Caenorhabditis elegans: one gene and its partner. The protein of the gene in region 1 purifies or fractionates together with the protein of each later gene. This does not show direct contact. Each region holds a gene or a part of one and is shown on either strand. Other genes may lie near its edges.

Region 1 (10,948 bases):
TTTTTACACTTGGTCTTTACCTCATTTTCAAATCTGCAAGTACATCCTTCTCACTTGGCATCTGTTGTGGCATGACACATTGTTCCTCTTCATCACTGCTTACACCTCCGAATAGGTCATTCGTATTCATTCTGAAAATTTCTTTATATTTAAAACAGAACATACAAGGTTATTCAAAAATGTAAAGAGAATAACAATAGCGTAGAAGTAGATCTCAATTGGAAAATGATATACGACTTTTACCTGTATTTTAAGTAAAACAGGGGAGATATATGTGAAAAAGAAAAAAAACTAATAGGCCTGATGAAAGAAAACCTCTGTAGGCTATGTTCATAGTGTGTCGACATTTTATGGGTTTCGCTTGGTGACGTGTTTTGCATGGTTATTGGGTGGTCTCAATGTGTCAATGACTGAGTAATACATTGTTCCTTTATGAGTTCTTGAAAACAGTGTACGTTTTGCAAAGTGGTGTGCTAGTCTCATTAAAAAATATGATGTGAATTTGAATCGTTCTTGTGAATTATTCTTGGAAAAGTTTTGAAAAAGTTAACATAAAATAAATAATGTAGGGTTATAATTTAATTTCAAAAGTTAAGTTAAGTTGTTAAGTTGACTGTTATATGTTTAATTTTATTTTTCTATGGGTTTAAAGAGAGGCGCAATTAAGGATTGAAGTCTCGTCCCGCCTGTAAAATTACTGTAAAAAAGTACGCTTATGTTATTTTTCAAAATTAACTTTATTGATAATATGCTGGAAATTGCTATGAATATGACTAAATATCGTTGTAAAACTTTTAAAAAACATTGTGAAACTTTTTCTTTACAGACCGAAAGTGACAATCATTCTGTTTTCATAAATATTTTTACCTATCATAATAATTTGCAAAGTCGACCAAAAAGTCGACCACATTTGTTTTCAAAATCATGGTACTTTTCCAATAATTTTGCATTTCCCGCGAAAAAGTCACACGTAAACTAAATTTACTTTTTTTGCAATAAAGACCACCTGTCAATAAAAAACGTTGAATGTGACTTGCTACACGTTCATCTTGCTTTGAAGCGTAGCGTGCGGCAACGAAAAGTCATTGCAAATGTGTCACATTGACACTGATTCTTTCTTACATTTCTCCACGGATTTCACTATATGCTTAAATTTCCACTATATGCTTAAATTGTTAGGTCTTCGATGGAGAACATTGTTGCTTCTCTCGAAATTTATACTAGATTGTTTTTGAGATTTTTACAATGGTCAGAAAATAAAGATACTTTCTTTTAAAGTAAATAAATGCTCTATAAAGTTGGAAGAAATCTAGCAGGTGTTTTATCAAAATACTGAAAATAGAACAAAAATAACATTAAACTAAATAACTCTGAAATTATTCGGGTTTTTAAAAAATTATCAGTCAGCGTACTTGCGAATTGAAAATTTTCAAAAAATCGGGTAATTTGAACATTGCAGTGCAGTGTCCGATAGATACACAATGTTTAAGAACAAATAATTAAAGCAACATTAAAAAATGAAACTCGTAGAGTAAATACGGTTTACCTTTTCAAAGAGAGAGGTGGAAACTGAACAATTGCTACTTTTGTAGAACTGTTTGAAAATTAATATTTGATCATTTCAGGGCCATGTTCGTAATTTGAAACAATTTCCGTACTTTCACAACTCCACCTTTAATTCAAATAATACAATTTCGTAGATAATATTGAACTACATATAGTATATAAATTACTTGTAAACTTTCTATTGCCGCTCATATCAGTTGACAATCTGATAATTGATAGTCTCTGCCCTCCGAAATCATCCCCTCACGACGAAAAGGTCCGTGAGGGAAACATTATCTCTTTCCAGGTGTACGCAACTGATGATATTACACCAATCTCTTATCGAACAGAGATCAACGAAATATAAGTGATTGTGTGTAGAAGCACAGAGAAAAGGCACATGTGGTTATGTTATCCCACCAGTAATTTGAACTTATTTCGGGTGATCATCTCTTGGATTTTAGAGTCAAGTCACAAGAACTTTTACATTGTTCAATGGTAAACATCTTAAAGATGTATTACTTTTTTGTTACAAATGATGCTCCCGTTACTTTTTATTTTTTGTTACACGTTTCTTGGCAATCAGCCGCCATTATTTAATGGTATTAAAATCTCAGAAACGAATGATTTAGAGAATTGGCCCTTCCCTTACGGTTTGTAAGCTAGTTTAATATTACTTCCTTCTTGCTTATATTTTTTAAATTTAGTTTCACATAATATTTTTGAGTCTGAAAAAAATCAGATTCGCAACGAGTTCATGAACCATTAAAAACGCATTCGTTCTTGCATAAAATGGCTTTTTCACTGACGTCATTCTTTCCTTCCTCTTCATTTTTTCGCCCACGAGCTCTCTCTTTCTATGCTTATTTTTACTTCCGAAATTTTGAAGACGTTTTGATTGAGTTTTCAAAGGTTGTATTCTCAATGTGGGATAGTGATAAGTTTGACAAAACATTTTCATAATGATTCAAATAGAATTTCTGAATTGAAACTTTTATGTTTAGACATTTTGAAATTTACAACCAAAGTTTTTGAAAAATCATACTTACATTTTAGATGTCCCCCAATGTTGAATTGCAAATCATTAAAAGTTAATTAAAATATAAAATTCGTAGACAATGTTAAAGAAATAAAAAGAATGTTCAAAAATTTTTCGAGCTAAAACTGTTCTTATGAAATCTTGAGCTAAAAATTTACAACTCCGACACCAAGATTATACAATATTTTTTTGCGTTTTTACATAGCTTTGAAAAAAGAATACTTGGTCATTTTTTCACCATATAAGTGGTTTCAATAATTTTCCCAACTGGCAATACTCCATCAGTTAAAACCTGTGCAAATAGATACAGAGCCACTGTTTTAAAACCGAAATTTGCTAATATTTAGCTTTTTGTTGGATACTTCCTGGAAAAAAAATTAAATTTAAATACTGGGAAATCATCTGAATATTTTTACAAGTCGACAGTTGCTATGTACAATTTACAACTTTAAAATAACGTACTGGAAATCTACAAAAACTTCAAATCATTCTGTGAATGTAAATTTCTTTGCTCATATCCTTCTTCTCCGTCTCTCATCACTTAAATTTTGTTTGCATCGTTGCCCACTATTTTAATTAAGCTCATTTTCTCAATTTCCTCTACCATTTTCTTGTGTCCCAATCAATCATTTCTCACCCACGAAGTATGATGAATTGCCACGTCACACAAACACCGATAGATCTTTTTTCTTTCGCACTCTCTTTCTCATATCAGTTGTGTCAAGTAGACAGAGAGCAGCAGCATCTCGAGTGTCCCATTTTGACAAAAAAAAGATGGGAAGAGATGTTTGTAGTTTTGAGATGAATGATATACGTTTGGTTATTGTCCCAAAGGAATGGTATTATTGTGGAATGCTCTTTGACTCATTTGATTTTATAGAATAGTCTGACAATCTTCTGAAAATTCCTAAAGACCCCCCACAAGAGAAAAGGTATATTCCACATATAAGAACTACAGTATCAAATCATTTTCCAAGTTACTCTAGAGAACATTAGACTACATTATTTCAATAGTTATCAAATGACTTGAAAACGTTTTGAAATTGTTTTATTAACAGTCACTTCAGTTTCATCTTTGAAAAATGTCTAATTGTTTCAAACTATGGCACTTTGCCAAAACTCTGTTTGAAAATTTTGAAAAAATATGAAACATGTCAGAGTTGTTTTAATTTTGGCACTCTTGGAGTAAATTTTGGCTAAGTCATCTTGGCTTCTCAGCTATGGAAGTCAATTATGTTTTACAAACCCATTAACAATGAAATCACTGAAAAGTTTTATTTTATAGTTTTAAAAACAATGAAATTTAGATTTTTTGTCGTAAAGTGTTCATTTTCAAGAAAACCAACGTTACGGTCGTAAAATATTAAAAATCACAACATGAACGAACACGCCCACAACAGAGTTTAAAACATTTCCCGGAACCGTTTTTCAAGTTTTTTGGAAACTTTTTTTCCTGGAAAAACTCTTGTCACTTTCTGAACACAAACTTTTCTTATGCAAAAAAAATACAACTTTGGCACCAAGATGTTTTTGAAAACTTTTTAGAAAATGTTTCAAAAATCAGCCCTTGCAAAAATAATTCAATCTCAAATGATTTCATGGGCTTATATGTTTTTTTATTCTCCAAGTTTTGTGGATTCTAAGATTCTGTATGACAATAGTATCAAGTTGCCTCAATTTTCATTTCTCCGACTTGTTGTCCACCATCACAGTAATACGATTCTTTGTCTTGAAAAATGTGAGCCAATCATCTTTCATGCACAAGTACATTTTCTCGGCCATCTCGTCTAACACTTTCCCTCAAACTACTCTCGTTCGTCTGTCTTCTATTCTTTGCATACAACTCTCAAGAGTGTTTCTCTCATTTCAGCGCTACACAGAGACACAGACAACATCTCTCCGTTGCGAAACACAACGAGAAGAGTATATTGAAGAGTGAGACGGAGAGATACAATTTGGATTGCATAGCCAGCTGACGCTTCTCTCGTTTTCTCTCGTTCTCTCATTTTTCAAAAGGCCAGGGACGCAGATTCATTGATCGACAACGACGGCGACGCGGCGGCGCGAGACGCGTCCCTTTATTTCTTCTTTTTCTAGTCAGCTTCTGTTATTCTGAACGTCTACAAAGGGCTTCATCCCTCAATTCTTCCACCAAAATGGTGGAACTGTGCGAACTGCACATGATGCCTGAAGAGGATCAATGGCCCGATGACATTGATGCTCGAATCGCTGCTCTCAACTTTTGTGGAGAAGATTCGATGCTCTTTGAATCAGTTGATCCTTCTGTATCAACTGATTCTTTAGACTCTCAACAGTTTCGAGAGAGATGTCAAATGAAAAAAGAAGATTTTCAATTAGCATTCGCAGACTCTGGACATTGGCAATCAGGTATAAATGATAATCTGACAACTTGGGGTCGGATTCGGACATCTGAACCATTGGATGAACGTACTGCCAGTGCTCCAGATGTTTGGAATGTAAAAAGAAGTGATAGTGCTCGATCACCAAATCGTCCAAATTCACTGATTGCCAACTTTGTTTCCGGAGATGCTACTCGATTCGTCGATGTAAATGATAATGAAATTCGCGAGGCAAATGAAGAAATAATTCGTAAAGATCGTTGGAGAAGAGATTCAGCGAGACGATGCTCATCTGGAGGACAAAATCAGAAACGAACATTTGCGGATATTCTGGAAAAGAATGTAACAGCACCAACTTCAATGGCAATCACATCGTCTGATAATGAAAAGCCTCCGAAATTAGACTTCCTGGCAATGCATCATGAGGTCAGTTTTTTTTTCGTAAGTGATAAGAGACGGGTGATAAATTTTGTCTGTATTGTGTTCTGCGGCAAAGATCGAGGTGGTCGGAGCGTTCTTTTTTCTTTCGATGCAACGTTTTAAGTTTTTCCAAAAAATAAATCATCTTCACTTTTTTCCGCAGTAAAGAAAATAAACAATTTTTTCAAAAAAATAATTTAAAGAATTTATTTTGATACATTTGAATTTCATCAACATTCACCGTATTTCTCCTACTAATCTTGCTCTTTTTCGGTTTACTTTAACAGTTTATATCTGGCCGTCGGGATATAAACTGTTAAAGTGGTTCAATACTGACAAGACTGATAAATAAAAATACTGTCTGACAGAATATACAAAACCTATGTATCTTGGGAATAGCTGTCAACTGACAAATAAAAACATTGTGTTAATGACTACAAGTATTTATTGCTAGTTTATTTTCTAGTCAACACATTTTTTTCAAAAACTAAATTCTAAAGTCTAAATTTGCAAATACTTAGATAGTATCATCGGTTGGTCATCACATTCCTTCCCATTTAAAAACAATTTTGTAGGTCGATGTTATTTTTGAGATAATGATCCTAACAGAATATAATTTTTAAAAGAAAAAACAGAAAGTATCCCGTCGGGATGCAAATGAAGAAGCAAGAAATAAACATCAATCTTACATAATCCAATCCGCGACAACCAAAATTGTTATCGGTTTCTTTTTTGTGTCAACGTCGCCGCTGTAGTCGTCGCGCCGCACTTATCATACCCATTCATTTGATCGATTGACTGCGTTCGTTTCTATTTTTTAATGTTTCATATACGGACGCATGTCTAGATAATGTCTTTTAGTAGTAGTGTAACCATGAGAAATTAGAACATGCATTCAAACTTTATAATTAAATAAATTAATTTTTAGATGCCATCTCTCTGCGAGTCATTCACCGCTTCGTTCCGTGATGCTATTATTAAAATGCAGAAATGTGAGCCACTACCGTCGATTACTTCAACCAATGATTTTCCGCTCTTCTTTCAAGTAAGTTCTTGTTTTTAGCATTGAAAAATAAACTTAACCATGAGATAAATTGAACAAGTTTTCCCTATTGTGCAGAAGTCTGATTATCAGCTAAAATAGGATACCTATTCCAATAAGCTGCTTTAATTGCTGTTTTAATGCTGTTTTAATAAGCAGGTAAGATCATAAAAACTCAAAGTGCATGCAATTTTAAACAAGAAAATCTTCAGTGGTGATTTAGTAAACATATTTGCATAATAGTCAACCAAGTATCCTTTTTCAACTTTCCAAATTTTTAGTAAAAATTTTAAAAAGTTGTCAAAAATTCCAAAATTGACTTTAGATATGTAAAAGCCTGATTAATTTTTTCGAAAAGTTTTACCACGATATAATACTTTTAAATGGTTTTCCATTCGCAGCTTTAACTAAATATAAGTATAAATTTAATTGTTCCTACAGTAGTTATCCCCATGAACTCATTGTGGCACGTAATCTGATATTTCTCAGTCTCTAATACTCTCACATTATTTGTTTCCATTAATTATTCATCCTTTTCTTTTTCAGGAAGACTCTCCCGACTCAGGACTCGGTTGTAGTGGTCCGAGCCACATTGAAGATTGGCAATCTCTATCTGTTCTTCTGCCCAAGTGAGTCACGTTTTTCATTCGATTTTCCCTTTTTTCTTTCGCTCGCTCATTTTTCATTTTTCGCCGGCTTAATCTCAAGATTATTTCGCGCCCCGGCACTCTTTTATTGAAGGGAAACATTGGAGAAAAATAAGAGACGCAGAGATTTTTCACATTTTCTTTCTTCCCGTTAACCCAGTCGGAGAAAAGATGGCGCAGGGAAGATTGGGAAAAGAAAGGACTTTTTCTGTGGGGTGAACGGAAATTGAGGGAAGAAAACTGAAATGGGCACGTGATTGACTTTTTTGAAAATTGGTCAATCTATCGGAAAAGGTTAAAGGTGGAGATTGTGAGTGTGGATTTAGTTTTAAAATACTCAAACTAGTCTATAACCCTGAAACAACTCAAAAGAAAAACGAAAGAAACTAGTGAGAATGGAAAATAATGTTTTTTTTAATTGAAAAAATAGATTTTTCTGTTTTGGCTAATTTTTCTTTGTTTAAATTACCTCCGAAATGAGAATTTCAAGCCGATCAACGATTCGCTTTTTCAATCAATCATATGGATTGCTGAAACCTTTAAGACGTTGATTGTTTTGAAACTACTTGAGGTTTTTAGCTTTGTTTTAGGTTTTTTGGCATTTTAAACAAAACACTATTAACGCTTTGAGAATCACATCAAAACTAAAAATATTTTCTTAATTGTAATGTTTCAGACACGTCGCAGAAGCATGTTCATTCTTCAAGAGCAACACCCAATTATTAACATCAAGTACATCAAAAACAGCACCCCAAACATCAACAAACATCGTATCAAATTGCATTGATCGCCGTATCTCTGGTATTTCAGCATCAGCAAATGAAGCATGTCGAACGTGTTATCGAGTACGAAGGAGGTAAGAATCTTTTGATTTTTATGAGCTATTTGAGAAGCTAACGGCTAATTGCTTTAGGGTGACGAAACGTTTGATGACCAATCGTTAAAATAGTATACAAGACACATGTTGTGTAATAAATGTGTATCTCACTATTTGTTAGAATATGGTTTTCTGTCTTAAAATATTCATAACAATTTTTTTCAGGATACACCCACCAGTTTGGGCTCAAACTGCCCAATCAAAGACGGTTCTTTGTGACTGCGCATCAACACCCACGGATACGAATTTCTCATTTGCACCAACAACGTAAGCTTCTTCTTCACTGACTCTATTATGCTCTTTAATCTTCCATTTGACCCTCATCATCAATCACTTACCCGCGCACATTCACTTCTTTTCATTCTCTTCCTTCTTTCGAAATCTCATTTCTCATTTCAGTTCAACGACTCGCCATCAACTGCGCGCAAAAGAGCTCTCAATTGTCGGATTGCCGATTTATGCAGCAAAGCGGACACTCGTTGAGAATGTTGTTGAAGGCGTTGCTGCAATTTCAAGAGGGGATGGAAGTGATTTGCTTGTCATGTAAGAAATATTTTTTAATATTAAATATGAGGGTCTGCAACTTTAAAGAAACCCTGAAAATGTAAAAAAAAATGGAAAAATAGTCCAGTTCAATAAAAAATACTCAAAATAGACTCTTATTAATACAAATTAAAATGTTTCAACATTTTCAGCGCCATGAGATGCTTAATTGAAGATGGTCTTCAAGAAAATGTATCGGCATGGACAATGATTCAGACGGTTACCTCAAAAGGCCCAGCTACAAAAGATGTTCATTCAATTGTAAAACAATTGGAAGAATGTTCAAAGACTGACAACGTCAAAGTTGAAATCTTCTTTGAGGAGCTTATCAGGTAATCGGAGAAAATAGAAATATAATCGTTCAAGTAAGAGTTACAGAGAAAACTCATTGGACTGCTGGCTGTGCTATATTGTGTTGAAAGAGAAGGTGCTGAAAACATTGTATTCTGAAAATGCATTCCTTCTTTCTGCGAGTTCTGAATACAGAACTCTTCTTTGGAGAATGGTCGACAGTTTGTCTCTTTTGCCAGGTAATTCTAGTTTTCATTAACAACAACTTAAATGAATGTATATCTAAAATGCCCCAATAGTTCCCTTTTTGAAATTTGCACATTGATATTTTTAGTGATCGAAGCTCGCAGTGATTCAGTTCACCAACAGTTCAAATCAATGCAACAATGGGGCGGAGCATCCAGAATAGCTTCTGACTCAAGAGTTCCAAAGAGTTCATCGTTCCCAGCAAGATTATCAACTGCTCCATCAAGAAGATCAAGGATACCATTGTCAACAAGGTAATTTGTTTGTTTTTTCATTGCAAAATTGGCAGACTTCGAAACGAGACATGTCTTATTTAAAAGTTTATATGCATTTAGACCAGGATATCAAAAAATTTTAAGCAAAGCTCAGCAACCACACTCTAAAAATTTCGCTCTGAAATTTCTTCAGTGAATTTTTTCGCTGTAATTGTGCCTCATTTTTAAGAGTGTTGGGTAGATATTCTGAATTATTTTTGGCAATTGATTTGATTCTAAAAAAATCAACAAATGCAATCAAAAGCTCTCTTGATCTTTGACAACTCTTAACCACTTTTCAATTTTTCAGTCGCATCAGTATCAGCTCAACAACTTCAACACCTCGATCAGCTCGATCACCTTCAACGACATCTCGTATTCGAGTTGCATCTATAATGGGTGACTTCACACTTGCCAATTTCTCCCTCTCAGACGGAGAAAAAGTTAGTGTTCTATCAACTCGTGGAGGACTTGCTCGATGTGTCCGTTTAACGACTTCTCATTCAAAAATCAACAATGGAGTTATTCCGATTGAACATCTTCTTTTCCAGTGAACACTCTGTACTTTATTTTTTTCTTGAACTTTAATTTTTTTCCGATGCTTCATATAATTCTAGTCATGCCACCCAATTCAACCGAGTTTGATCCCCCATCCCATGCATTCATCGTTTTCCCTCAATGATACTCATTTCTTTTTCATGTTCAACTGAATTCATGAAAAATGTTTGAAAACTTTCAAATATTTTTTTGAATTTAAAAGTCATTAGATAGCCTCTCTTTTCCCTCCGGTTTCCTCCAATTTTGCTCCTTCTATCTTCGTATAGAAGAAAATTGCTTTATTTCCTTCCTTTTTCAGCTAAAATCGAGGCAACTATTGGATTCTTTGCAGCTTGCCAAAACATTATTCAATAACAAAAACGAAAATGTTTATTTGTATTTTGGAATAGAGCCAATCGGATTTGTATTGTTTTTGAAAATAAACAATAAATAAAATGCATTTAATTATTAATTTTAAATTTGGAAAAGTTATTAAATAATCTAAAATGTTTGAAAATGAACTTAAAAATGAAAAAACATACAAATAATTTTGTAATTTGGTTTTTTTTTTACACTTTTTGGATTTCAGTGGCGTTGCAATATAGCCTTCAATAATTTTCAAAGATCACCGGGCGTAACATTTAATGATTAATAGTAATTCAACGAATCACAAATTACAACAATTCACAAATATTTACCAAAAACATTTTGATCTTAAGATGTTTTTTTTTTATCTGAACTAGTTTCCATTAGTGTCTCATGTCGAATGATGTGATAAGAACGAATTATTTCGAGATAACAATAACATTTGAAAATCCTATAAAAGGGGGTGAGAAAATTGTAAAAAGCAAGAAGTTCTTACACTGAATTTCCAAATCTAATATGAATTTCACAATTCTTCTTGTTTTTCTGATGGCTGTTGTAGGTGAGTTCCTGTGATTTAGATAAAATTCCTATTTTCTTGTAAAGTTTTTTTAGTTGAAATTGAAGTAGCTAAATACCGCTTATAAGTATATATTTTACCGTTCTAAAAACTGAAAATGACTCCAAAAGACTGAGTTTGAGAATGGAATAATAAATAAACTTTGACAAATTTAAAAAAGGTCTCATAAGAGAAAAGTTTTGAAAAACTTTGTTAAAATTATAA
Region 2 (7,311 bases), on another chromosome or scaffold:
AAACTTCTCATTCCAGGTAATGTCGTGTTTTGCCTGCAAAATGTTCTTCCGTAGAACTGTTTTCAAAAATATGTTATTCAATTGCAAATACTTTAAAAATTGCACTATCCACTACAAAACTCACCCGAAGTGCCGTGCTTGTCGATTCCAAAAATGCTTGAACATTGGCATGAAAGCAGCTTCCAAGAATGATAGAATAGTTAGTATTGGCAACTACGAAGATTACAATTTTGACAAATTATTGAATGATTTGATTGTGAAAAATGATAAAAACTATTCAAATTTTATTGATTTCTATTCGTTGGAGGATCCGAGCTTGAAGGATATTATAGAGGATAGAAGTATTATGAAACTTGTGAGAAGGGTTAGTTGCTCATTTTTCGATAAGTTTTATTTCAGATTAGCAGAAGAAATAGAGCGGATCTAACTAGAAAAGAATCCCAATGCCTAAGCTTGAGTAACATATATATTTTCAGACACCCGAGACACTCAACGACGTCGACCAATGGTCGAATATGCTGGCATACTCTCGAATATCTTATTTTCTAGATTTCAACTTTATTCGAGAACTAGATTCCAGCGACAAGAATACACTGTTCAAGTATAATGTCTCGCGAGCAGGGTGCTTAGCACTTGCCATGTGTGCATACAGTGAAAACAAACCAAAGTTAACATTTCCAAACGATGTTGATATTTTTCCATCTGAAATGTATAATCTTTGTGGAAGTTCTACAGCTGTTCTGAATCAAGTGTCGGGGCAAGTCATCGCCAAGTTTATCGAATTGGAAATCAGACAAGAAGAGTATCTGCTGCTATTATTGGTCATGTTTTGCAATGCATGTAAGTTTCAGTTTTAGAAATTGTTTTTTTTTTGAAAATATCATTTAACTAGTTTTCACATTTCATAATCTTTAATTTACAGCAATAACCAATAACTTCTCCCACAAGACAAAACTCATTCTATCATCCCACCAACAGGTTTACTGCTCTGCCTTGTTCCGTTATTGCCAGCTGAAATATTCAAAATCTGCACCAACTCGGTTCACAGAGCTTCTATCAGTTTTTGGAATAGTTAACAAATCTGTGAATAACATGAGCTTTTTGAGCATGATGGTGCAATGTTATAATCCAAAATTTAATTTTAAACGGCTAATGCAAGATATTTTCTCTCATACATTGTCATAATGAATTTTTTTTGTCTGTTTTTCAAACGTTTACTGGTTTTTATTAATAAAAAAAATTAAGAATTGTTTGTGTTTCTAAAATTAGGTATAAGAGATGGTGCGAATCTTAAGGTTTTCCAATTCTAACTTATGACGAGAAAATTTTTTTGGATCAAACTATATATCAACTTTATGAATAGAGAACATTTTTTGAACTTTCTGATCCAAAATACATACGTAATTCATTTATTTTTAAGATATTTCATACTCGTGCCATATACTTTTCTGTCTGGGTGATGACTGAATGTGATCTCGCTTGTGCTTCAAATTCTTCATTTTGAAAAAAAAAAAACTTTTCACGTTTACTCACTTTTTTTAGTTTTTTTTCCAGTTTTGAAAAAAAACTACAATTTGAGTTTGACATTATGCATTGCTTGGTATGCTCTGGACGTGCAACCAATAGAAACTATGGCGTAAGTCTCGAAAACTGCTTGATGACCTCGAAAACTGCTTGATGACATGTAGATCAAACCACAAAAATTTCGAATTTTAGGCGATGTCTTGTTTTGCTTGCAAAATGTTTTTCCACAGAACAGTGTACAAAAAACTGTTATTTCGATGCAAACGTATCCAAATTTGCACTATCCACTTCAAAACTCACCCAAAATGCCGAGCCTGTCGATTCCAAAAATGCTTGAATTTAGGAATGAAGCTAGCTCCTTCAAATGATCAAATAGTTAATATTGGCAATCAGTCTGATTATAACTTTGTCAAGTTGTTGGATGATTTGAAATTTAAAAACGCTCGAAATTATTTAAAATTTATAAACTTCTATTCTTTGGAGGATCCGAGCTTGTCCGAGATATTACATGATAAAATTATCATGAAATTTGTAAAAAGGGTTTGCTAAAATTCTGCAATTTCAACAGCACTCATATATTTTTTTCCAGACATCCGAGACTAAAATTAACGTTCAACAAAACTGAAATATGTTGTCTTACACTCGAATATCCTATTTTCTCGATTTCAACTTTATTCGAGACCTAGATTGACAAAAATACACTGTTTAAATATAATATTTTGAGAGCTGGATGCTTAGCACTAGCCATGTGCTCATAAAACAAAAACAAATCGAAATTAACATTTCCGAATGATGCTGATATTTTTCCATCTGAAATGTATAATCTTTGTGGAAGTTCTACAGCTGTTCTGAATCAAGTGTCGGGACAAGTGATCGCCAAGTTTACAGAATTGAAAATCAAACAAGAAGAGTATTTTCTTCTAACACTGCTCATGTTTTGTAACACCTGTAAGTTTTGGTTTTTGAAAATCTAATTTTATAATTTTTTGAAATTTTAATCTCTATAGCACGAGTGATCTATGCGACAAAACAAAATTCGTTTTATCCTCACATCAACAAACCTACTGCTCTGCTTTGCTTCGTTTTTGCCAGCTGGAATATTCGAAATCTGCACCAACTCGATTCGCAGAGCTTTTATCACTTTTTGGAATAGTGAACAAGTCGGTTGATAATTCAAACTATTTGAACATGATGCTTCAATGTTCCGATCCAAGTTCAAGAGAATGACGCAGGATGTTTTTTTTTTTTGACACCGTGTAATAATACGATATGTTTACCTTTTAGAACTCACATCATACTTAATCATACACATGACAATTGTTTTTGATTTCTTTCAATTTTTTTGCTAATAAAAAAATTTGGAGTAATCATACTGGGGTGCTATTGAAAACTTCCGGCAACCGGCAATTTTCAAAGCTATCAATTTTTCAAAAATTACAAAATTCATTTTTTCAGGATTTTGTGAGTTTTGCAAGAAACTATTATAGAAAAAATACGATCGCACAAAAATAAACAACGACGCAACGACACTCCGCTATTTTTAAGCCCCTCCCACGATTTCATTTGCACTGCGGCCGCCACATTTCAGTGCAAATGAAATCGTGGGAGGGGCTTAAAAATAGCGGAGTGTCGTTGCGTCGTTGTTTATTTTTGTGCGATTGTATTTTTTCTATAATACATATATCTAGGGAATTCTCTTCTAACAAAATTTCCTAAAGTCTCCATAACTCTATGATCAACGGTAAAATTGGAGCATTTCAAAAAATCAAAAATTTTGTGCATAAAATCGGAAGATCACTAGACAACTCCAGCTGATAAATCTTTACCAAGTTATCAATAGATCAGAACTTATGTGTCAGTGCATAAGAATGCACTTCACTTTCATGCGTATTTAAAAGAAACGACTTTACATTTGTGATTTCTGCTGCAAATCCCGTGATCAAAGTATCAAAAGCATAACATATTGTGTTAAAGATCTCTGCCTCACTTCCTCCTCCAAAATTCTATATATAAAAGAGCCGGAGTTGGCACTTGCTCTCTGAGTTTTCAGGCTTCAATTATGACTAACTACGCAAGTATTGCTAATTTCAAGACCGAGGAAAGTGTTCTTGTAAGAGAAAAGTGTGTGATATGTTTTGGATCGGCGTTGGGGATGAATTATGGGGTGAGTTAAAATTAGTTTAGTGGAAAAAAATATTTCAATATTAAAATTTTACAATAAAATGTATTAATTTTTTCTCACTTTTAGTTTTAATAAACGACCAAAAAATCCGATTTTTAAAAATTAATTTTATATTTTAACTTCGTTTTGAAAATTCTGAAAATAGCTCAAAAAGTTAAAGTTTTTAAATTTTTGACAAATTACCAAAACTTTTTCTTAAACTTTCAAAATATTACCCTGGGAAAGTTGGGAAAATGAATGTGAAAAAAATCTATATTTCGGAAGCAAAATAATTTTTAAAGAAATTACATTTTATTTTAAAAAATTTGAATCGTTATATTTTTGGTAATTTTTCTTTTATAGGCATTGACTTGCTCCGCGTGCAAGATGTTTTTCCGAAGATCTGCTGAGAAAAAATTGAGCTACAACTGCAAGAAGGACAATCAGTGCTCAATTGCTCAACGGAAATGCCGAGCTTGTCGTTTTCAAAAATGCCTGAACTTTGGCATGACATTTTACTCATTCCGGGGACAACTTGCTCAAAATTTTAATAATCTCGATCAGAAGCTGGAGCTCCTTTTAAAAGAGCTAACAATAAAAGATGGGAAAAACTACACAAAATTCATCAACTACTACTCAAATGAGGACCCTTCTTTAGTGGATGTTCTAAAAAACTCGAATGTGATGAAAATGAAAAAGCGGACACCTCACACCGTCACCGATTCCCATGACTGGGCATTCTTGGGGATCCATGCGAGGATTTCCTATTTTATGGATTTCGAGTTCATAAATAAGTTGAGTTTGAATGACAAAGTAATCCTTTTCAAATACAATGCTCTACGCATGGGATGTATGACTGAAGCAATGCGATGCTTCACTGCAAAAAGAGCATATTTGGTAACTCCAAGCGGTGAAGATGTCTACCTGCCGATATTTCGTAGAATATTCGAAAAGACTCCGGCGCTTTTGGATCAGACATCTTGCATGGTGCTTTATAAGTTTATAGAGTTGAATATTACAAATGAGGAGTGCATTCTATTGGCGCTGATTTTCTTTTGCAATCCTGGTGAGTTCTGCATAGCAAAAATGAAGGAAAAATTGCTTAAAACACAGATTTGAGTTGAAATTTTTTCGCCAAGATATGTTTTGAAAAATTTAAGTTTGAACCTCCTGCCCAATTTTTTAAGGTTATAACTTCGTTCAAGACAAAACTTTTCAAAATCAAAATTAAAATTTCGGCGAAAAATTGTTTAAAAATTGAAATTTTAATTTGGCACCAAAGATTTTTTGAACATTTAAAAAAGTTTTCAGTCGAAACTATTTGACAAAAAAATGCAAAAAAAATTAATACCAATTTTTGTTGAAAAATTAAAATTTGGACTTCCCGGCCATATTTTTTTGCAAGATTTTTGTTTGAATTTCTCGCATCAATTTGTAAAAAATTTTAATTTTAATTTCCTGACAAAAATTTGTTTCAAAAATTAAAATGTGCAATTTTTACCAAACTTTTTAAAACGATATTTTTATTATTTCTCGCCGAAACTTTTCAAATTTAAAATTCAAATTTCGGGATAGTTTTTTTTTAATGTTTTTAATTTGCGCAAAAATTTGAATTTCCTTGAATTTAATACTTTAGCTTTTAGAACAATTGCCATACTCAATTTTAAGAACAATTTGGCGAGAAATTAACGTTTACAATTTCCTTTTAAAAATATTTTTTGAAAATAAAAATATTTTTTTCAAACAATTTTGGCTGGAATTCGCATTTCAATTTTCTAAAAAAAATTGTTCAGCAATTTCCGATGAGCTATCTGAAAAAGCTAAGGAGACACTATCCCGACATCAAAAGCGTTACTGCTCTGCATTGCTCCAATATTGTCAGTCAACATGCCAAAAATCCGCACCTTCTCGGCTCACTGACCTCCTATCCTTGTACAATGTCACCAACAAGGCTTATGACGGTTTTCAATACCTTTGCATGACTTTCCAATGTCTTGCACCAGATTTTAGAGGGAAACAACTCGTATATGATACTTGTTTGGACATCGAGAAAAATAATAGTAAAGAAAATTCGTCTCAGAAGGTGCAGAAGCAAAATCAGAAAATAAATGGAATCTTTTAATGTATAACTCGTATTCACGGAATTTTTAAAAATTAATATGTTAATACATGTAATTTTGAAACAAATCATCTAAACGAAAATAAGAATATTTCTCCCTACGTGCCTGCTTGCCTGCCGCCTGCCTGCCTACGTGCCTGCCTAGCACTTGTCTTTCTACAATCACCTCTTTTCTTAAAAATGTAGTTTTCTGAAAATCTATCGATTTTTTTGAAAATTCAATTGTTTTGTATATTTATGATTTTTTTTCGGATAATTCATATTTACATTGGAAATTGAACTTCTTTTAAAAATTTATTGATTTTTCAGAAACGTTGCTGTATTTTTTGAGAATTTCCCATTTTTAAGGGAATTTTTATATATTAATTTCAGAAAAATTATAGCTTCTAGTGAAAAAAATCTTATTGCTGGGTGAGATATTCATTAATTTTCTATTAAAATGTGTTTTCCGAAAAAGTTTTTGATAAATTCATCAAAAACTTCTCGTGGAGAAGAATACCAAAAAAATTACAAAACCGACACCCTCCGAACAATCACGAAAACTGCAGTGGATTCTGAATTGAAAACAAATTAAGTGAAATGAATAAATTGGCTGATACCTTTCTTAAAAGCAGCTCTCAGTTCTCCATTAGACGCCAAAATTATTCCTCTGAAATTGTTTGGAAAGCAACTGTGATATGACCTGTAGGCACTCAGGTAGGCCTGAAACTCACCCCTCTGCGGCATGGATAAACACCCAAAAAGTAGCAGCAATAAATTGAGCAATGACCCAGTCTGCATCAATGACTGGAGCCACAAAATAAAAAGCAACCTGGCCTGTAAATATCGATAAGCCTTGAAAACAGGTCTGCTTCACAAAATTCCATTCTCTTCTCCGTTGAATCGCGGAAACTTTCAATCCGGCCGCATTTATCAGAACTCGTGACTGTTTTCTTCCTTTGTAAGCAGTCAGTAAATTCAGAAACAAAGTGATTATATCGATTCCCGTGTTGAAAAGGAAATCCGAATACCAGATCAGAGAATCGCAAAAATCCGAATTCTCAAATTCGAATGACCAGTGGTTGGGGTTGTATTTGAGGAAGCACTTGGAGAACTCATAGCAGACTGCACAAAATATAATACAAGTTATCCACAAGTAATTCCGCATGATTACTGTGTTCGGGTTACTGGAAGAGAGAAATGTGACTACGGCTAGCGCCCGACATCTGCAGGGTTTCAAGACAGCGCATCTTGTGGCGGAACCCGGGAGATGTCTGGTGCACGAATATGTGTTACTAACTTGCTGTTTTAGGCACCCACGGAAGATAGACGTTTTTTACGCTCTCCACACGTGGTGTCAGAGTGTCACATTTCGGTTTGACCTGCGAGATTTGCGATAATTTAGACGCCGATTTCTAAACCGATTTTGCATGGTTAACAGCGTGCCGACGCCGCACTTTCCTGGGCAAAAAAATCCCGCATTTTGTAGATCAAATGGTACTGCCTGACACCACGTGCCTCCCCCATA

Evidence for each region. Proteins that work in one complex are often made in the same cells at the same time.
Region 2: the proteins of unc-14 (region 1) and nhr-198 fractionate together in Caenorhabditis elegans (co-fractionation; one large-scale study listed by BioGRID). This does not show direct contact.

What each region holds. Positions count from the first base shown.
Region 1 is NC_003279.8:7,121,930-7,132,877, reverse strand, and holds unc-14 (RUN domain-containing protein), read left to right. Parts: upstream 1-4,631; 5' UTR 4,632-4,740; coding exon 4,741-5,370; intron 5,371-6,292; coding exon 6,293-6,409; intron 6,410-6,952; coding exon 6,953-7,035; intron 7,036-7,729; coding exon 7,730-7,909; intron 7,910-8,095; coding exon 8,096-8,197; intron 8,198-8,329; coding exon 8,330-8,473; intron 8,474-8,625; coding exon 8,626-8,805; intron 8,806-8,851; coding exon 8,852-9,003; intron 9,004-9,098; coding exon 9,099-9,264; intron 9,265-9,574; coding exon 9,575-9,818; 3' UTR 9,819-10,264; downstream 10,265-10,948. Other genes in the region: taf-11.2 (Transcription initiation factor TFIID subunit 11), read right to left, coding at 21-130; K10D3.8 (uncharacterized protein), read left to right, coding at 10,684-10,726.
Region 2 is NC_003283.11:15,690,411-15,697,721, forward strand, and holds nhr-198 (Nuclear receptor domain-containing protein), read left to right. Parts: upstream 1-3,583; coding exon 3,584-3,688; intron 3,689-4,048; coding exon 4,049-4,751; intron 4,752-5,478; coding exon 5,479-5,807; downstream 5,808-7,311. Other genes in the region: Nuclear hormone receptor family member nhr-268, read left to right, coding at 17-364, 477-840, 923-1,185; srx-29 (7TM GPCR serpentine receptor class x (Srx) domain-containing protein), read right to left, coding at 6,375-6,453, 6,518-6,970.